Linked DNA regions of Struthio camelus. Each later gene encodes a partner of the first gene's protein in a complex. Links are inferred from orthologs where the notes say so. Each region holds a gene or a part of one and is shown on either strand. Other genes may lie near its edges.

Region 1 (10,583 bases):
TGTGTGGTTATATAAAAATAGGATTTCCTTGTCTTAGTGATCTTATCCTTATACATATTCAAACATAGAAATGTTAACCTTTATGACAAAACACAGCTGGCAGGGGGTGGGAAAGGAGCGGGGGATGTGTTTCTATCTTTATGCTTTCTGGAGCCAGCATGACTAAGAGAGATGAAGCTGTGGATTCAGTCATAATTTGTAATATGACAGTAATTGCAGCACTGTAAACCTTCAGGGAACAATTAATTGTTCCAGGGCATCTAGTTGTTGTCTGTGAGAATGACTGGATCTGGAGTTACTGGGAGTTACTGGGAAAGTTTGGGAAAAGGGGTTAATAGGCTTAAGCATCCCCCAGTGGGGCCTAGAGACTAGTATGCTTTGGTGCCTAGTTATGACAGTATGCCAATGAACAGAGATGTGTCTATGCTTCTGGGTGACTGAAAGGCGCCCACATCTAGAGTGCCTTTAACTTACCTATCTTTTATGTTTGTCAGTTGTCATGTACAGAGGAGCTTTAAATGACGTGTGATAACAGAGATTATTTACTAATATTAACATAAATCTGTGAGAGGTGTAATTTACTTTGACATAAGATACTTTAAATCAATGAGCGTCTGCAGAAGGAGACTGTACTTGTTTAACTAAAGTATTTCTAATCAATTTAAACTATTGTCAAGTTTCCTGTGCATACAAGAGACTGTGTTTACTATGATGATAAAACTCTGCACAGAGCTCTAGCTAGAGATATGCGCTGAATACACTCTGATGCATTATTTTCATCCACTTACCTAGAGGCACGATTTTATTAATTTGCTTACACAGGTGCAACTTTTTTATGTCAGTTTAAAATGGCCTTGTATCAGCTCAGCTGATATAACCCCACAGCAGCTATTTTAATGCTGTTTGTCTCTCTCTCTTCCTTTGTAAAAAAAAGTAGTTTTGATAGCTGAAACACCTTTTCAATCATCTCCAGCAAATGTCTGAGAATCAATGTCGATTAATACCTATTAACTATTCACATGGGCCTGCTTTATAGCTATGCAATAACAATTACCAAAACAAATCCTCTCAATGGAGTGGAAGAAGATTCTTGCTTTGATACAGGGTTTTTAACAGGAACTGCTGATAAGTAACACTTAATTCTAGGGTAGTCACAAGCTTTCTTTAGCTCTGCTCTCTATAGGGACTAGATGAGTCATTCTACCACTACATGGAGTGCAACCTTTCATGAAGCTGACTGGAACGAGCATCAAGCTTTAAAAAAATTAACAAAAGTGGCAGAGAAGGGGGTTATTCCATCTTTTTACTTAGTATTCCAAGACAGAAAAAACACTGGTTTAAATTCCACTAATTTTACTGTAGATGATCCACCTCATGCATGGATTGAAAGTTATTATTTACCCAGTCAGCAAATAGACCACGGACAGAAGGTAGGGTTTTTTCCCACTCGTCCTATCCATGTATATGATAAACAAAACATATGATTTATATAATGATTTGACTTATGTCAACATGTTCAGAAAGAGCCTTATCTTTACAACAAGGTTAATTATTAATCTGGGAATATTCCAGAGGTGGAACTATATTTTAAGCCTGGACTGAAGCTCCCATTTCCTTTGTGACCTTGCTGAGTGATGCAAGCCCTGTTCTAATGCGGGCTGTAGGTGAGGCTAGAGGCACACCAAGAAAGAAACTTTAAGCGCTCCATACTCATAGGATGCAACCAAACTGTACTGCCAGACCTAAATCCCTGGGCTTTGGCTGCATAACAAGGCAGCCTGTTCAAGGTCTGCCTGGCTCCAAACCAAGTGCAGGCTTAGGCACTGTGTGGGTGGACCAGGAATGCTGGCATGCGGCAGTGTCCCATGGTTAATGTTGAAGAGGCAAATTAGTCATGGTTCATTTTCTGGAAGGGCTTCAGCATCACCTGCTGCAAGAGCAGTTGGTATCTAAGAGCAGTGTGAGCTCAGCCTGCTGTTAGGTGACGTGTGAGGGCTCACAGCTGAATTATGGGCATCTACCAGATGGTCATGAAGACAGAGAGCTTATGTCAACGTCAAGTGACTGGCTCCTGCCCTGGAAGAGGCAGTATAGATACAGGCAGAATCTCAGGCTAGACCCTTAAAAAGGAAGGCAGTTGAATTTAGAAAACTTATTAAAGTTGGGCCTCTTCATTCCTAGTAACCTGTTTGTTGTACCGATAACCCACACTGGTCTATATTTGCTACCTTTTCTGCAAACCGGATTTAAAAGTGCTTTTGTGTTCAGTCAACAATGGAATAGTCTTTAACAGCCAGACCCAACCCTAAGTGCTCAAACAAAATGCTAGTTTCCTTTTCCCAGCTAAAGTTAATCTTTGAATACACTTGGTAGGCTCTGCAGATTAGTAGTAGAAGTAGCAGTAAACTTCTTAACCCTCAGTGTCCTGTTGCAATTTAAGACCAGAATTAGAGACTGTATAAACAATTTCTTCTTTAATATATAACCATATCCTTCACACAGAAAGCACTATACAGATAAATACAGTGGGCAGTATTACCCCTGCATCTCACTTACTCATACAAACATTCATGCTAGCACCCTCTGCTCCCTTTTGCACTCCTTAAATTTTTCACTATACCTACAGCCTGTTCAGGTCCACTACAGGAAATACCCTAGTGAACCCAAGTCTACAAAATGATAATAGTCAGCCAAAGAATTTAAGGTTCATTTTCATGGGGAAGAGAGAATATTTTAAGTTTCCAAACAGGGAGTCAATAAGAACAGTCACAATGATGTAAATTCATACTTTGCCTTCCTTTACACTAATTTTGCATACAGAAAAGCCATAAAAGCTGCTTGAAGCAAGGATGCTAACTGACCCAGCATGGTTCACAGACAAAAGAGTTTGTTATCTTCAGAAGCTGGCAGAAAGTCAGATTCTACAGTTGCAATTGTTTAACGTATTAGCTCTGTAAGCTGAAAATGCATTTGCTGCTCGCAAAATTATAGTAATTTTCTCATTCTGTGCCATTCAGAACACTCCTGCAGGTCTAATAATTGCCATGATAGTGAACACGCACTTGTATACCACATCAGTGGGATGACTAATCCCAGACTTGTGGAACTTGGTCTTTCAGTGAAAGCAGAATTTAAAGTTTGCTATGCTCTGCCACAATGCATCTTGGCAACCTTGCTTTACATACGCAATGCTATTTAAAAAGATGAGTAATTACCTTTTACAAAGATAATAAAATTAGAGAATACATGGAACATATATTCTTCTTTTTCTGATTTATCTTGTCCCAAATTAGCTGCATGCAATATATATCATCTTCCTAGCTCCTTCTGGACTGATAAGACATACTATTCATAATCTGCTTAAGAAAATGATGTAAAACAATTGCAAGTATGAATCAACATTTTTTCCCATGAAATCTGGATCAACTTGTACTTTATTGTAATAAATCGAAATAATCAACAGTCAAAATCTTCTATCTTTTTTCTTCTGGCTATTCTAGAAACAACCTTTTATTTCCCCTAATCAGGATGCTTTGCAATTGCTGTTGTAATTTTAGACTAAAATGAACGACTGTGAGAAGCATTTCATCCGTAAAATATAACCAAATCCTTCTTGCACAAAATGGAGGGAGGAGGAGAGGCAGAGATTGGCCTGTCTTCTGTCAAATACGTATCTCCCAGGAGCAGGGAGCTCTGTTGGGGGCTGGGTGCCTTCTAGCCAGAATCAGTTAGTTTCAGAAAGCCTGTGCTGAGTGAGCTGGTTGTTCTTGTCTGCAGTACAAACACATCTGAAAAACCTCTGTGTACCTGCCTTGGAGCATCTCCAGAAATCAGTTTCTTCATAGGCTAAATGATGTGATGACTTAAGAGTCGGATTGTAATAAATATCTTTGAGGAAAGAAGGCCAAAACAAATTTACATGAAACATTACTTTCTCTGGGTTTTTCCAAAAAGAAAGTAAGCTATCCTATAATGTTCTCTCCAGACACCCAGCTTCAATCAGAGGCTGAGCTCGAAGGACAAAGCAGTGCAGTACAGCATAGTTTAGGGCCAAAGCTATTGTCACAAGAAGGTTTTGGAAGGCCTTTTATGTAGAAAGGTTCTTCCTGAAGCCATTTGAAAGTCCCATGTTAGACCATGGCAGCACAGTCCTAGGTGCCCAGTTCAGAGTGTCCCAAAGAGGATGGGGAAAGAAAGTTTCTAGTTCATCTAGTGCTCTAGAATATAAGAAAAGAAATCCGGAAAATGCAGCTTCTCGGGGTTTGATTATCAAGAACTATCTCTCGCCAACAAACTCTGTGAGGGCATGGGGTCATATGCTGCTGCAATTGTTTACATGCATAACGTACAACAAATATATACAATATATGGTGAATGTGTTGGGGAAAAAAGATAAGGAATTCAATTTCTAAGGTTATGTGAACAACCTTTCTGCTTTTTGTCACTATCTGTCATTCGAATTTTAAAACAAGAATGACAGTAAGGAGACTTGAAAAAATGCAAATTATTCCTTCCTTATCAGGGCAGCATTTTGACTAACATGGCCCTTTTTTCATTAAAACAATAGATAATCTCTCATGACACTATAATTAATTCGGCGATATTCAATACTGATGTGGTGAATTGTAAATATGCCTGAATAATATGCCTGAATTGTTTCTCCCAAGCAAGTTCTCATTAAAAATCAATTACTTATCATAAAATGCCAGAAATCCTTCAAGCACTGTTGAAGTGCATGCATGATTACAATAAAAAGTAAAATAAAAAGGACGTGTATTTTAAAAATACCAGTAGGTATCGCTCCCCTCATTCACCTCCGTGATGTGTCATGGCCAAAAAAAAACCCACCCTAACGACGAAACAGAATTGCAAGCCGTAATGCCCGGCAGAAGCCGTTCGCTCTGGCAACGAGTCTTTCATATACGACTCTTGATAAATCACCTGATCGCTTTGGGCTTTCATCAGGATATGAAAAACCGGGCCCTGAAATCCTGAAGTAGCTCTCTGAGCACATCGTCGCTAACCACCTGTTCTCCTTAGGGGACCAGCAAGGGTCCCCCCCCCCCCCCCCGCGTGCCCTGGCGGCAGCCCGTCTCCCAAAGGAGCCCTTCAGCGGTGGGCAACGACGAAGCGCAAGGGCGCAGCGGCCGTACCCCTTTCCTCCGGCCGTTTTTCTTAACGCGGCAACCGACGCGGCGCGCGCCTCCCCCAGGTTTTCCTGTAAACGGGGGCCGCTCTCAAGGGACAGTGTAAGCCAGCTTTCAGGTTGCTTTTGCTGCTGATAGCGGCCTTGCCGTATCAGAAGATCTGTCATAAAACGTTTGCTTCAGAGGGCTGTGTTATACCTGACGTCTGCGCGCAGCCTGCGTTTGAACAAATTAGGAGCTGTAGTTTCAGCGTCGCGTGCTGCTGTGCAGCTGCCGCTTCACGACCAGGCCCGGTCTAGTGAGCTTGCTTTTAATGACAGTATTAAACCTTTCCGTCATAAAAATACCACTGAGGGAGGGCAAGGGGGAAAACAGGGGAAAACACGGTAGGCACTATTTGGCAGCGAGTGGGCTGACACAGATGGTGTATCCAGTGCTTTTTTATTTATTTGCTTTTTTGCTGGTGGTGGTCCGTCCTCAAGTTTCTTTCCACCTCCTCCGTGGGAAAAGCGAAGCTCTCGGCACACACCCTTTCCCGCAGCGGCTCCTTCTTAGGTCTCCAGACCACCACCCGCACCACAGCGCTGCCAAACCCGCCGCCTCCCACTGCACCCGCTCCACCCGCAACCGCCCCCCCGGCAGGCGGCCTCAGGCGCCCCCCCCACCTGCCCGGCGGCGGCGGCCGGGGGGGCGGGGGGCGGGTGGCACAGGCCAAGGCGCGGAGCTCCGCGCCACCCCCCCACCCGGCAGTGCCGGCCGCCCCCTCTGCGGCAGCCCCCGGGGTGCCCGCGCCGCGTGGGGCAGGGGCACGGCGGGGCGGGGCCGCGGCCCGCTCGCGGACGGTACGGGGGAGTGGGGTTAGCGCTACGTCAGAGGTGTGGGGCGGTGACGAAGGCGGAAGCGGAGACGGCAAGGGGCGGGGGAGAGGCAGCGGCGCTGACAACGGCTGCAGCGAGCCGGCTCCGCCATGGAGGTAACGGGGCGGGGGGAGGGGGGGAGGCAAGGAGAGCCGTTGGGAGGAACCGTTGGGGGTCGCGTGACCTTGGGCCACGGAGCGGGGGGAGGGGGCAGGCGCGCGCGAGCCCCGCTCCCCCTCCCACCCCCCGCCCTGCGGCGGTTTCCCCCCCCCCCCACCCTTCCCCGCGCGCGCCCCCGCCGCCAGGCGCGGCCCCGTGCGCAGCCCCCTCCCCCGGCGCGGCGCCGGCGGCCGTTGGCGCGCAGCCCCCCCTCCCCCTTCCCCAGCGCCCGGGCCGGGGGGACGGGCCGCGCCGCGCCGCTCGCCTCGGTGGCGGCCGCCTGACGCTCTCCAAGGGCGGCGTGGCCGGCAGGGCGGCCCGGGGGGTCTCCGCAGGCGCCGAGGTTTCAGGGCCCCGGGGGTTGTGGCTGTGGGGCAGCCCCCGCGGCGGCGAGGGGGAGGGGTAGGCAGCGGGCCGCGCCGCGGTGCTGGGGCTCCTACCTTGCGGGAGTGGGTGGGCCTCCGCCTGGGAGCCCTCCGGGTTGGGCTGCCGGAGCTGCTTAGTGCTTCCTGCTGGAAGGTGGAGGTGTCCTCCTGGTTGCACAGACTGGGGGAGAGCAAGCAGTGTTGAGCCGAGGGGGGAAGGAGCATTCAGATGCGATGCGATGAATGCCTTGCGTGGTGACACCTCTTTCTTTAAAAACAGCGTGAATGAATAGGCTTTCTTTCCTTGTGAGGATGGCCTAGTGCTTTCGCTGTGGTTTAACTGTGAAACCCTTGCCGACGTAGGCAAATGAAATCGCTGAAGTGCATGTATCTACTGTGTATCTTTCAAAACCACCAAGGTGAATCCAAAGGCAGTCTTGAAGAACTGAAATTTCACATATGGCATTAACTCCCTGTAGGTGCTCAGCTCGGCACTTTCTAATTACGCTCCTGTTTTCCGAAGCGATCGGAATTCAAAATGTTCTGATGTGATTCAACGTGTTTAGATTTGGTAACATCTAAAAACTCTCGCGCTGCTCAAAAAAGTCACTCCTCAGGATGATCAGTGCTGTCAGAGGTTATGTCAAAGTTAATATATAGCATTCCTACGCTGCTTAGGCTTTCCAATAGCGTGTTTACTTCTTGCAGAAGTAAGGAATAGAGAGCAAAAATTAAAACATTATTATTAAAAAAATACAGTACCCTATTTTCAGAGTGATAGAGTAGAAACTTGGGAATCCTTACAAGATTATTTTCAGCGTTGTACTTAAAAGTATTATGTCTGTGGGCTTACAGCTCGGATGCACCTAATTCATCAAGTTTAAGGTTTTTGATTACCATCTTTCTCAGCATTCTTTTAATTAAAACAAGTAAAGCCCTCTACATGAGCTGCTTGTGGTACCTTCTACCAGAACAGCAAAACTGGGTGCACCTCCTTGCATGATATGAAGTTCAGCCTTTGTGCATGTCAGCCTAAAGAAGAGTAAAAGCAACATGTAGGTCTGTCGTTCTTTATTGTAACATGAACAGATGTGTGCTATTATTATTTTTAAACAGTACAGACAATTTGTACCTATGTAAGCATACTGTTTGTAGTGGCGGTGTTTTACTAATAACGTGCTCAAATATTAAGAATTTATATGTTGAAAAAGTTCTGCATCCCAATAAAGTCTGAATTTTGAACTCCTTTATAGTGCTATTTCTTAAGTTCTGTATTTATTTAACAGGCAAACTGTCTTCCAATAAGCTTGCCTTTGCTATCTCAAAAACTCTAGCCCATGTAGTACAGAGAGATACCTTTGTCCTTGGTCTGTGCTTGAACTGATATTTCTAATTATGGCCTTTCTTAATATCTCTATCAGCTCTTCTCTCTGAATTGTCCATCAGTGATTATCCCTACCAGTAATATTTAGATCCAGTTTGTTTTTTCCATAGTTTCTATTACAATGTTTTATTTATCTGAATAAAAAGAGTAACAAAATAAAAGTCAAGGTATAGTATCTAGTCTGATAGTGTAAAAGAATGTCAAAGCTTGGAAATGCTATGCATAATATATTGGAAGTGTCTGTCCTATTTTCCTTTACTGCATCTTAATTATGTTTATTTCTTTATGTTTCCAAGTATGTGTGAGCATATCCTGTGTAAACCCACTCTGAAATTGATCTCCCAGAATAGATCTGAGGAGGCTTACAGTAAAAAGTATTACACACTTATGTTGGGAGTAGAAAGTCCAGGCTTTGCAGAGCCTTTTAAAATGCTTTTGCCAGGCCACCACTACCATGCGCTTTTAGTGCTAACCAGTGCATTTAAAAGAAAATTGTGTTTCAAGGTTATATTTTCTTCAAAAGTTTCCTAAATCTGATTTAGCTGTCCATCCCGTACAAGCTTTTTCACTCCTGCTTTATCTTAAACAAGTCTTTTAATAACAAGATATTGAGTTACACTTTCATAACCCATAGTAAATAAAGTGATTTTTGCAGAATATATTAACGGTGAATAGAAATTAAGTAGTGGAGTGGTAGGATTATACTGGTTTAGAAATTAAGAGTTTCCCGTTCTGCTGTTGTAATGGACTAATTGCAATAGATCTCTAAGGAAAATTCCTCCGTTGTCCTTCTGACTAGTCCTACAAATGTTTTAGGTTTCTTGAACTCCCACTATGTTTACTTATTCTCAGTACATGCAGACTTTCAGTTACTTCCTTCAGTAGTCTGCACAAAAAAATTCGGTTCTCACATACTACGCTTTCTTTCATTGTAGGTACAAGATGCTGGGCAAGAGATGGTAGCTTCTCCTGTCACACCAGGAGCAGGCAAATCAAAGGTAATCTGACTTCACAGATTTAATTTGTTTGGATAGCAGCAGTTTAGAGAGTTATAGCTTCCTAGTAGGAAGATATAGAGGTATTTTTAAACAGTTCTGTGTCTTCTGTACTTCTTGAAAATTTGATTTACAAATGCTAGGCTCAGGAAAGCCTGTTTTGGAAATTGTGGAACAAAAATTATTTTTAGTGCACTCACTTCCTGTGGTAATGTTTTATAAGATATTTATAATACCTAGTTCTGGAAATAGTCTGTTTCCTTATGTACCCAGACTTCCTTGCCCATACTGGCAGTAAATCAAAAAACAGTAGTGTTAGATTAGCAGACTATATGCAAAACATTGTCCAAATTATATTACTCCAAAGACCCAGCTACTTTAGCTACTTTTTTTTTTTTGTTGCTTATAGGCTTCAGATTTTTTCTGGTATCTCGCAATCTATCTATTGTATTGCAATCCTGCCCAACAGAATTTTCATTTCTGACTGATGCTTCCTAATTAAATATTCTGAAAGACTTTTGGAAAAGCACAGAATTAGCAGTAGTTTCTGTTATTGGACTGTTAGATCCTTGCAGATGCAGGGTAGGACAGTTTCTTGCCCTAAATTTTAGTCATTTTAGCATCTGATTTCCAAGAAATTATTTGCTGTTTACCTCTGGGATAGAGGAGGCTGGTTTTTGAAATATGTACTTTCTTACAGCTGGACACGTTGTCCAAAGAAGATCTCATCAAGTTTGCCAAAAAGCAAGTGATGCTCATACAGAAAGTGAAGTCAAAGTGTACAGGTACCTTACTGAAGAGGGAATAATTTCTACTTTAATGCTTGGTACTGCTTGACTGTGCTTAATATCACAGCGAACTTTTGCTAGGTAGACTTAATTTATAGGCAAATATCCTAGACTTTTCTTTTTTCCCTGAGATTTCACTATTTTTGTGGTAGGATAAAGACTGAAGCTCTTAGGTGGGGGGGGGGGAAGAAAAAAAAGAAACATTGCTTTTGTCAAGTATTAAATTAACTTTGACTTATCAGGCAGCGTGATGTGATAAAGAGCCTGTGCAAGTTGAAGTTGGACCTGTCATTATCTATTCCTCATAACTGTTGCAATGATAACATTTTCAGGAAGCAGATAGGAGGGGCAAAATCTCTAATACATTTTGTGTAATTAACTGTGCATAATTAATTCTGTTGCAGAGCATAATAGCATCTTTAAAATGGCTAGCTGCTTTATATTTGTTTGATTTACTTCTTTAATGAGAAATTGTAAAATGCAACAAATGGAATTGTGCGGTAACCACCTAAAAGGCTCACCTCGTTGAAGTAATGTATTCTGTGATCAGTGGAACTAACAAAATGTAGTTTCCTAAGGTTTTATATTCAGCATCCAGTGTATATCTGTGCTGTCATGCTCTGTTCCCCTCTTCTCTGTTGCTCCTCTTCCTCTGGTGTCCTCCTGTCCACACTTTTGCCGCTTCCATTTGTTTAGGGTTACATTTATGCTGACTGGTGATAACTGCCCAGCCAAAAAATAAGGATAGGAATGGAATACGCTAGGCTGTTTTTCAGTGAGGTCGTTCATAAGATCTTCCTCCTGTACGTGCTGCCTTTTTTTAGAGTACCTGTGGAAGCTGAATATCAGTTTCTAGTTTAAAGTGATCATGTCAGGACGAGGGAAGGA
Region 2 (10,655 bases), about 68 Mb from region 1:
TTTTCTCTTCTTCACATCCTACAGGCCTTTCAGTTCTCTGAAAGTCTTCCTTCCACAGTTAAAAGACCTTCTTTGGTAAGAAGTATTCTTTTACCATATATGTTTTCTGGCACAGTCTGTAGAATCAACTAAGCGTTTTTAATGCCTTGCACTCTGCTTTATTTATCCGGCTTGATGTCGAACTACTCACCGGCTGAGTGCAAACACCTGCTTTAGCGAGGTTTTCTTCTTCAAGCGCAGAACCTGCAACGAACCACCAGTCAGCACGCAAACGTTACGACAAACATTCAGAAAGTTTTCGCTGGCGCTTCCCAGAACGCATCCTTCAAAACAACACGCGGGACCCTCTCGGAGCACTAATACACCTGCCAATGCGTCCACAGCCTCCAGCCACTGCAACTCCCCAGACCACAGCTGCAACACCGAGGAGGGGGATGAAGCGGGATGGGCGCAATAACCTTCTCGCTTTGCTTTAGGAATCCAACAGCTTGGGGTCGGCGATCCCGTACTCATCCGCCACGCCACCCCACTGCCACCAGGTTACAAAAACCCAGGCGAACAACTGCTGCGCTCGCCACTCGCTAGTGAAATAAGGGAGGGCCAGGGATCCACCAGGTCCCTGCGGGGCAGTGCCGGGGCTGGGGTGATCCCTAAGGGCTGGCGGGGAGGGGGTGTCTCCGCCCTGCTCCAGGGCAAACAAGGCACGTATGGGGGGGGGGGAACTCCACCCCCAAATGCAACCCCGAGACCCCCCACCACCACCACTGCCAGGCCTAGGTCAGGCCTGAGAGCCCAGCGCCAGCTCAGGCCTGTCCCCCCGACTCCCTAGTGTCCGAGCTGGGGCTGCTCGAGTCCAGCCCCCCCCAGGACCGGGGACGAGCCCCGGACCGGGCCCCCTCCTCAGCCCGGAGCTGGAGCCGGGCCCGGGCCCCCTCCTCATCCTGGCGCCGGGGACACGTCGGCCGCGATCCTGTTCTGCCCCGCTTCCTGAGCCAGATGGGCCCCGTTTCCCCCCCCCTCCGTGTCCCACAGCCGGTCCGGTCCGGTCCGGTCCGGTCCGGTCCGGTCCGGTCCAGTGCCCGCCCGCGCTACCTGCCGCAGCACCGCGCTCATCCTGACCCAGGGCAATGGCGGCCGCGTCCGGCGGGCAGAGCGGTCCCCCGCGCCGCCTCGGTGCACCCGGCCCGGCGCCCCCCCCGGCACCCCGCAGCCCGCGCCCCGCGTTCCGCTCCCGGCCCGGCCTCCGCCACCCCCGAAATCAGAAATAACGCGCCCCGAGGCGGCCGCTGGGCCTCGAGGGGGGGACGGGGGTGTTAGTAGGGCTTGCTGCCGAGCTGCTGCTCTTGGTGCAGTTAGTTTTGGTGAGAATACGAGGCAGGTGGGACACGCTATGGGCTACGTAACCGAGGGCGTTCAGCTTTGTTCAGCAAACGCCCTGGTGCTTACGAGGGGCCTCGGGGGGAAAAGGGGCTTCGCAACTGGCCTGGGAAGGGTTTTTTTTCAGGGTACTTGTGCTCGAGGTGGTGGCGGGGGGGATATTTTCAGCTGTGTTTGCAGTATGAAGACTTGTGGGTTACGTCATCTCTGCTAAAATAAATAGCACGTGGAGAGCGACACGGCGCTGCGCTGAGAGGATCGATGAGGTTAATTTGTGGGCTTAATTAGTGACTCTCTAGGTCAGATGGGGCCTGCGAGCTGCAACGTGCCGGGATCCACTGGTCCTGCTGTGCCTTGTGTCAGCTGGCAGGCAGGTCGGGGCATGGCCGTTTGCAAGCTGCTGTCTGGGGGGGAGGGTGCTGCTGAGGTGACCCCCACCCTGCAAGATGCCCCTTTTGGGTAACAGCACAGGAAATCTGGGCAATAACGTGCAATAACACCCAAACGTGCGATATTGCAGAAACGTGCAATAATGCAATGCTGTGCAACCTATGGACAAACAGGAGACCTTTCACCTGCAGCGTACGAGAGAGGACAGCCCTGTCACCGTCCCCTCTGCCCCACTGGAGCCACCCCCAACTGCCACTGCTGGCGCTGGCCAAAGAGCAGAACAACGTGGCAGCTCTGCACGGCGCACCCAACCCTGCGCCCAGCGCCATCCTACCCTGCTGGCTCCGCACCACCACCACCACCACCACCCCCACCCCGGTCTCGCGCTCTGATTGGCCATCCTCAACGTCCATCAAGCTGGCGGGCGGGTAGGGGGCAGCGGCCCTGCGGCACGGTGGTGCGGCCATGTTGAGTGTGGCCGGTCTGGAGCCTTCCTAGCGTGGTCAAGCGGCTAGGGCGAGCGTGGCCTGGCCAGCCCCGCCGTGGCGCGGTGTGGCGGCCATGTTGAGTGTGGCCCGGCCGCGCCCCTCCTGCGGGCGGCCATGTTAGTATGGCCAGCGGGTGCCCAGAGGGGAGGCAGCCAGTGTCCGTCTAACATGCCCGAAAACGTTTCGAGCAAAAGAGGGATGTAGGCACGACGGAGCAGCAGGAGCCTGCCTGAATTTCGGCAGGGCTTTCCTCCCGCCAGGGGAGGAGGTGGGCCAGGAGGTGCGCCTGGCGGCCCTGGGCGAAGAGGGACCGACGCCGCGCGTCCCCGTTCCCTTAGCCAGAGGCCTGATAGTCTGGGGTTGGCCTGGAAAGCAAAACAAAACAAAACATCTCTTTGCAGTCAGTCTGCTCCTCCTCCCTGTCTCTTGCACCCTCCTTCGAACTGCTTCGCTCCCTCCTCCTCCTCACTCTTCCTCCTCCTTCCTCCTTCGAGCAGGGCGCACGAGTGGAGTTTGAGCCGGGTCAGGGCCAACCCTCCCGTTCCAGCAAAGCTGGACGTCTCCTCCAGTGAACATTGAAGCCCTGGAGGAAATGGCGTGCTTGAGGAAGGACTGCTGTAACCGGAGAGGGATTAACTGCCCCTGCGTTTGTAGGGTGAGGCAGCAACGGGTATTTGGGTTATGCCCGTGAGGACTCCCCGTTTCACGACCTCACGTGCTATCGGGTCTCAGGGAGCGGGTCTGCAGCCCCCTAGTTCTCCTTAGTACCTTCGTCCCTCTCGGGGGGCTAATCTTTTGGCCGCGTATAAAACGTGGCTGAGGACAGAGCACGGCCCCGGACTGAGTTTGGAGTACTGCAAACATTGCTAAAAATATTACAAGAATTCTCCCTTCCCCCTCCTCCTTCAGTGACCATCATTGTCCTCTTAGATGTCTCAGTGAAAGAACAGTCCATCTCTATATGGCAGAGATCTCCCTGACATCTATCATAGATTCATAAATTTTAAGGCCAAAAGGGACCGTTCTGGCGTATAATTTGGCCTCCTGCACGTTGCACGCTATACGTTTCCTCCGAGCTGCAGCTGCGTGCAAACAGATCGCCCGTGCTTCGACGAAAGCGTTCCTCTCACAAAGGCTCCAGCTCTCGGCTTCCCTCTGATGCAAAGAGCGCGCTGCTCCTGGCAGCTCGTTCTGGCAACCGATCACCCTCGCTGTTAAAGACGTGGGCCTTACTTCGAAGTTGAACGTGCCCCAGCCTCAGCCGCCAGCCAGCGGTTCTCGTCGTGCCTTCCTCTGCTTGGCTAACGAACCCCTTCTCTCTCAGTCTCCGCCGCGCTGCCCAGAATAAAGCTGTCCTAGGGGACTTGTCGGGTTGCAAAGGCAAACAACAAGCTTTTGAGCACAACTTGGAATAAAACCTCCTCTGATGTACCTGCCTCCTCCTTTTCTGCCTTCTGCGGTTTCTTAGGACCGTGGGTAAGGCCTGCAGGAGTCAGCAAGACCATCTGCCTTGGCTTCACGAATTGAGCAAGGTCCCTCAATTGCTTTTATCTCGAAATCCTCATCCAGGTCTCCTGCCAGCCCCTCGGGCTGAACCCTCTTCGGGAGGCAAGGCAAAGGGTTGTCCTTTGCCCAGTGCAAAGAGACGCTGAGCCTGAGCAGAGCCCTTGGACAGATCAGCGACAAAAATAATCGTCACTAGCAGCGAAGCCTCCTCCCCGGTGGAGAGCCATCCTTTTCCCTGGGATCAGCGAGTAAGATCCCTGGCATCCCTACTGACAAACAAACAAGGACAGTTTACGTATTTAAAACGATGCTGAAACTGTTCAAACCAGCTCTGTGCCAGTCTGGGTCCCCTCTGCCCCGGGTTAGCAGGAGAGCAGCGTCACAGCGCTGCGCAGCCGGGTGCAAAGCAAAAGGAGATGTCTTGCTCGTGTCCTTATTCAAACTTCCTTGAATTTAATCACCTTATTAAAGGCACGTTTTCTCTTTCAGTTCACTGGCAGTTCAAGGCCTGGGGAACAAAAAAAAAAAACCCTTGGAGAAGCAGTTAGTCACGTTGAGGCAATATGAATGAAATGATCAAAAATAGAAAGGAGAGACCGTTTGGTCTTCCAAATACCTTCCAGTTCTGCTCCTGAATCGTGGGCTCTGGGCGAGGTTCATGTCCGAGAAGAAATCCCCGCAGCAGAGAAGTTCAATGAGCGTTTCCATGAGTCGGGCGCAGACGGAGACGCTGAACGAAGGTTTGAGGGTGACCTCCCTGCAAACAAATCCTTACTGAGAGTCTGTGCCCCCCCCTCCCCATAGCTCCCTGGACCATATACAAACCCAGGGCAGCAGGTCACGTGGAGATGGAATAACGTTAAGTTCTGCTCCGCGACGTTTTCCAAAGAGGAGGCAAAGAGTTGGCGCGTGGTGTCCCCTTGGCAGAAGAAACGCGGCGCTGAGACGCAGCTCGCGGGCCTCGGAGAGGAAGGTGGAGATGGTTCCCTGACCATCCCAGCAGAGAGGTCCTGGAGCAACCGCCCGCATGGAGAAGTGGAGGAAAACCTGGCCGAGGGGAACCTGCGAGGGAGCTGTGACGCGCTCTCGCCGTGCCGGGACTGGAGGACAAGGTGCAGCGCGTCCCACCAGGCTTGCTCCGGGCTCCCCCACCTCGTTGAGTTAGTTGAACCTCGTTGACTAGATTTGCGTCAACACCGACGCGAAGAAAACTAACAGGCGCAAGCTGCAGACCCCAAAAAGGCCGCGTGATTAAGCGTGTCCTCGTTTCAGGCAGCCAAGCTGAGATATTTGTGGGAACAGCAGGTGCCGACAACGCCAGCTGAAGCCTTGGGAAGCTCGGGGAGCGAACGCTTGTGAAAAATCACATTTTGGCATCCATATCCAAGCAACCTGAGCGAGGAGCATCGCTCCGGCCATTCGCGCTGCCCTTGCGGCCAAGCACGCGGGCACCAGTTTGGGAAGGGGGTGAAGAGGGCAACAGGCGTGAGCTCCCGTAGCCGCCAAACGTGCCCGAATCCGGGCCCCTTTCCCGGAGGCTGCTCTCCTTTCAGCTGGGTTTGTCTCCCAGGATCCAGAAACGGCAAACGTCGCGGAGAGTTTTCCTTCGTTTTCACGTGCGGCTGGTCCACGGCCCCGCGCGGGGAACGACCGACGCAGCAGCAGGGCACACAGCGCTGTCGCCGTCTGCGGTGAGCGGAGGCTGAGCTGAGCGCCGCTGTCCGGGTGAAGGGCGGGTGCGAGAAGAGGACGGGCGCAATAGGAGGATGCACGCAGGGAACGCAGACGGTCTTCGGCGCCGGACATGCTACGGACAGCGTGCACGCGCCTTCACTTTGCCCACGCTATAGCCTTCCCTGAGGGAGAGCGCTTTTAGGGGTCCCCCCTGCCTCACCTTCCCCCCTACAGGTGCCCAAGAGCTCGGGCATTTCAGCAAGCTGCCCACCTCCCCTTACCAAACCGCCCACCCACGCAGCCACCATTAGGCTCCAGCGTGAACACCCTCCCCCAGCCGAAGCGGTGGAGGGGGGGGAAGAGAGAGAGAGAGGGAGGGAGGGGACAAGCCCCGCCCCCTCCCTCGCCGCCGCGGCGCGCTGCGATTGGGCGGCCGCAGGGAGGGAGGGCGGGGCGTGCGGTGAAGGGAGGGGGGGGGCCGCGCGCGCGCGTGCGCGGGACGGGGCGGCCGGTTGCGTGAGGCGGCGGGGGGCAGGGACGGCCCTGAGGCGAGCGGAGCGACGCGACGCGACCGAACCGAACCGGCTCCGCCGCCCTGCGCCTCGCCGCGGCTCCGCGCCCGGCCCGCTCCGCCCTGCTCTGTCCGCCGCCGCCTCCTCCTCTTCCTTCACCGACGCGGGAGGAAGGAGAGGAGGAAAGGGCCAGAGAGCGGGCGCGGGTGCCGCCGCGGGGAGCGGAGCGGAGCGCGGGGCGGCGGCGGCTCCTCCATCATGTCGGCGGGCGGGGACTTCGGCAACCCGCTGCGGAAATTCAAGCTGGTTTTCCTGGGCGAGCAAAGCGGTGAGTCACCGGTCCGGTCCGGTTCGCCCCCCCCCCCCCCCCTCACCTCACACAGCCGGCGGCGGCGGGACCTCCCCCGACCCCACCGGGCCGGGCCTGAGGCGAGGCCGCCTGCCGCCGGCTCCCTCGCCTCCTCCTTGCGGGCGGCCCCGTCTTGCCGTTGCCGCCCCTTGGGGAGGCATTGAGCCCCGTTCAGCTGCCTGTGTGTTTTATTTAGTCGTTTCTCACGCTTTTCATTTGTCCGTTTGTTTTTACACCCCGGCCAGCCCCATCTCTTTGCGGCGCTTGCTGATTCATTTAGCCCGGGTTCATCCCCTTTTTGCTGGGAAAAGGGAAGATCGATCCCTGGTGTCTCCCGCTTCGATATACCGGTTTTTCTTTTTTGTTTGTTTGTTTGTTCCGTTTTTGGAAAAATGGGGTTACATCTGGGTGCGGCGGATCAAACGCTCTAAATTTTTTTAATGTAACAAACGAAATATTTCCCTTTCCCACCCTCCCTGCTGTCTTTGCTGGCAGGAGGGGGGAAAAAAACGCCCAACAAAAAACCCAAGAAATCTGGATGTCACCTTCTTTCTAAATAGAAGGCCACTGTCTGCAGTGTTGAATTCAAATCTTACTTTTTTGGGGAGTGTCTTTTTTTTTTTTCCTCCACCCTGAGAAACATTAATTTGTAGGATACGTTGTGATCCTGGTCAAATATTGAGGAATCTTTGATATTACGAAAAGGAGCAAAATATTCCCTGTCTCAGGGTGGGGTATTTGCTCCCTCAGCCACCTTTGCTCCCTGTATGGTAGGAGCTGATGAAATACTACGTGTCGTCTCCTCCTCCTCCCCCCCACCCCCGATGATTTATATAGTGATATTTCTTCACTTAAATGTAGATGAGCTTGGTGGCAAGACTGCTATTAATATGTGATTACCTGTATGTTGGTAGTTTCCGTTAGTCTGTCCCTTTTGCCCCCTTTTTTGTGTTGGAGCCGCTCCAACACAATGTTAGGGATGCAGGGAGTGCAAGTTCAACTTGGGTATTTCTTCTTGGCTAAGTCACCTGATCTATTTGGTGAGGTGCTGTTTGGCCAGCCATTTTATGAGGATTTTTGGAAAAGGGTCAGGTGTTAAAGATGCTTTTTTCTTTCTTTTTTCCCAAGTTATTATTTGGTAACATGAATCTAGAGTGTCACGTGTGCATTTGCAAAATGCTTTGCTTGCTTTCCTGCATTTTTGAGCTTTAATTTTCCGAACCTTTTAGGATGCCTCCATGGGAGGCATCTAGTGCAGATCTTAAATCTCAGCAGCTCTTAGTTTACGTGTGAATTTCTTGTCTATCTATTGTGGCAGACATATCATCTGATACCTGCTTCCTCTAATCTTGACAGCCTGCCCCCAACTAATTATCTATGGCTATACTGGAAGGTCGTAAATGATTCCCATCGAGAGCTTCAAATCTGGGGAGGAGAGAAGGGTGGATTTTTTGGGGGTATAGCTTGGCAAAATACTCCTAACTAAACGTACATAACAGTGCAGCTGTTGTGACTGTGCCTTACTGATGTGTTCAGGCTGGTGGTGAACTAGGTAGTGCTAGCAGCTGTGCGGTGGGTTTCAGACCTGCCTTTGTCTAGATCGGGGCGATCGCTCAGTGGCTGGTCCGCACCGAACTCTGTGCTAACATGGCTATGCCGATAGCAACGGAGAGCTCGGTGTGTCCGCGCAGCCTACAGGTGCTGCAGCGTAGGCATGCTCCAGCACAGCTCCCAGATGATTCTCGTATGTGCTGGAGAAACAGCTTTCTCTGAATTCGCATGGGATCTCCTCAAATATTGCTGTCTTGATGTAATTCTTTGGGGGTGTGTTTTTGTGGGTTTTTTTTTTGTTATTACTGTGCGAATAGTTACGTTACGTATGGCCCCTGAAAGAATAAATGTTCTAATAACGTTCCTCCATATAATGGAGATAATATGGAAGCATCTCGCATCCTGCAGAGGAGGTCTGGGGGGGTTTGCTTACACGTAGCTCCCTTTGTCATTCTTGTTTTTGAAGATTAAGGGAAATGTAGAAATAAAAATAGTTCTTATAGCTTTTGTAAATCAAAGATCTCTTTGTACAACTGTTGCATTGGATTACTGCCTTTACTTCCTGTTGAGCTGAAAGGTTGTCTGCCCTGCTGGAAGGCCATAATTAAAGATATCCTACTACTGCTTGTAGGGTTATAGGATGCTTCTGTTTCACTTGCTTGAGGCACTTCATAATGGCAAATGAAATGTTATAAAGGGCTACAACGCTGATTAGGTGGATCAGCAACCAAAGCCAGCTAGGATCAGACCACTTGTGTTGATTGTATACAGTGTCTTTGCTAAATGTGCGTGTTACGGTTAAGAGATTCTTACCTGGAGTTCATTTACTGCGCAGGCTTTAGCGCTTTTAGATGCAATTGTGTGATCAGAGGTGATATCCTGCTGTGAAAGATCTGGAAACGTTTCTAGACATCTCATTCTTGTAACCGTACTTGAAATTGAAATTGTGCAGTGGATGCAGCCTGTAGTTTTTGCTGGTATCCTCAGCCATGTTGTGGCAGTTCGGTGCTGTATACCCAGACATGTTTGTCTGGACTGCGGTGATTCTTCCTAGTTATGCTGTTTGTCTTTAGCTGCTGATTCTCCTATGTGATAAGCTACTGATCTCTCTTTAAAGGGAGAGAAGGGGTGGGGGGGAAAGCCCTTCTCTTCCCTTGCTCCCTGACCTCCAGAATCTTCCTGCCTCCAGTGTCTGTTACTTGCATTGTCTGTCTTTTATGCTTTTATTGCACCAGCTCCTCGGGCAGTCAGTGCCATGGAAAGAAAGCTGACACACTGCTGCAGTTCTGTTCAGCAGAGTCCTGCCAGTGCTAATCAGTCAGTGGTGTGTGTTGGCTAAATGACATAAGGTCCCTTGCAGCTTCTTTCAGGATTTACTGCAAGTCATTGCTTCTCAATAGCAATACGGTTTTTGTCCCCCATGGCCTTCCCCACCCAAACTGGATCAGCAGAGCCTTGGATACCTGCCGCATGTACTGTGGTTTCATCACCAGCCTGCAATGTAAGCCGTGTCCAGCTGAAAAGAAGCTTCTCTTTCTAGCTCTTTTTTTCCTTACTTGCAGCACAAGGATATAGCATTGGGTGACTAGCAAGAAGGAAACTTAGCCAGTGCTTGTCTTAATTGAATTACTTTTCTCAATGACTAGAGATTATGCAGAGTTTAATAGTTTTTAGTATGTTAATCTTGACTGAAAAGACAGAGCTCTGTGCTGAGGGATTAGAGAAAACTACTATTAAAAAAAATATATGCTTCTTACTGCCTTTGATCTTGTTTTGTCAGGTGACTTTCATGAGTCCTAATGCCTTAAGTAATAAATTCTGGTTTCTGGGTCACATCGGTTAGTGTATGCATCACCTCTATTAGGGTAGCTTGCAGTAAATATGCTGTATACCCTCAAAATATTTAGTAACATCTTTAGTTTTGTCTTGTGTATGAACATCTCTTGTTCTTTATTTGCCAAATTGTGTTTGGCTGGGCCGACCTGACTGCTGGGGCGCAGTAATAGAAATATTCTTTCATCATGTGGGTTCATGCTGCAGCTTTTATTGGAGCGGAAGTCTGAAGGGCATTAATGTATACAGAAAGCAAAATAAGTTGCTGTTGTATCTTACTACAGTCATTTCTGCGTTCTGCAAGATCTGAAAATGATAACCAATTAGAGCTTTTCATCAAGAATTGATATTTTAATATTGAAAATGTTGTACTAAGTACAATATAATAGCTTGTATCATATAACTGTTTAGAAACTGCTAACGAACTGTGTTGTTACATAACAGGGTTGGTACAGGCACTGCTGAATAGTATGATGTGGCTTATTAGATAACTGGAGACCTGCAGGTGGTTTGTATGTGAGAAGCTGGCATAACACTCGTCTCAGTTCAGCCGCTATCTGTGGAGACTGGCATCCCCATGTAACTTGAGTCTTTAAAAGAAGAGTTCCATCTGGTTTACGAGCTGCAGAGGTATGAACTTGTCCCACCACTGAGTAAAATCTTGCCCTCTTCCCTCCTGTTAATTTCTTAGTGCCTTGGTTTTCCTCTGAGTGTGTGGTGTGGGTGTTCCTCCCCTCCTCCTGTTCACGGAAGGATCGCTAACAGGAATATATTGACTGAGTGGTTGGGACTCCAGTATTCTCTACATGAGTCACTAGCCTCATTTGCTTGGGTACCTCTGGAGGCTGAATATTGTCCCCGTTCTTTCTCTTCCCCATCTCTGAAATAGTCCTTCCAACAATGTCTGGAAGAAGAGTCAGACTTGGAGAAAAGGACTTAAATACTTTGTGAGGCCTGCTTTCATGGTGCCTTTTG

What was found.
Region 2: the proteins of GCC2 (region 1) and RAB6A are in contact, whole or in part, in a crystal structure (PDB 3BBP), measured with the Homo sapiens proteins. The link is inferred for Struthio camelus from reciprocal best matches to the Homo sapiens genes GCC2 and RAB6A. Residues at the interface, in NP_852118.2 of Homo sapiens: Thr1585, Ile1588, Leu1589, Glu1591, Gln1592, Leu1595, Leu1596, Glu1599, Arg1602; in NP_942599.1 of Homo sapiens: Lys15, Ile46, Gly47, Ile48, Trp67, Arg74, Phe75, Ser77, Leu78, Ser81, Tyr82, Asp85.

Annotation. Positions count from the first base shown.
Region 1 is NC_090942.1:155,280,131-155,290,713, forward strand, and holds the start of GCC2 (GRIP and coiled-coil domain-containing protein 2), read left to right. Parts: upstream 1-5,949; 5' UTR 5,950-6,114; coding exon 6,115-6,120; intron 6,121-8,847; coding exon 8,848-8,910; intron 8,911-9,607; coding exon 9,608-9,692; intron 9,693-10,583. UniProt on the Homo sapiens protein: Golgin which probably tethers transport vesicles to the trans-Golgi network (TGN) and regulates vesicular transport between the endosomes and the Golgi.
Region 2 is NC_090942.1:223,042,049-223,052,703, reverse strand, and holds the start of RAB6A (ras-related protein Rab-6A), read left to right. Parts: upstream 1-5,917; 5' UTR 5,918-6,205; coding exon 6,206-6,275; intron 6,276-10,655. Other genes in the region: MRPL48 (large ribosomal subunit protein mL48), read right to left, coding at 191-243, 1,093-1,113. UniProt on the Homo sapiens protein: The small GTPases Rab are key regulators of intracellular membrane trafficking, from the formation of transport vesicles to their fusion with membranes.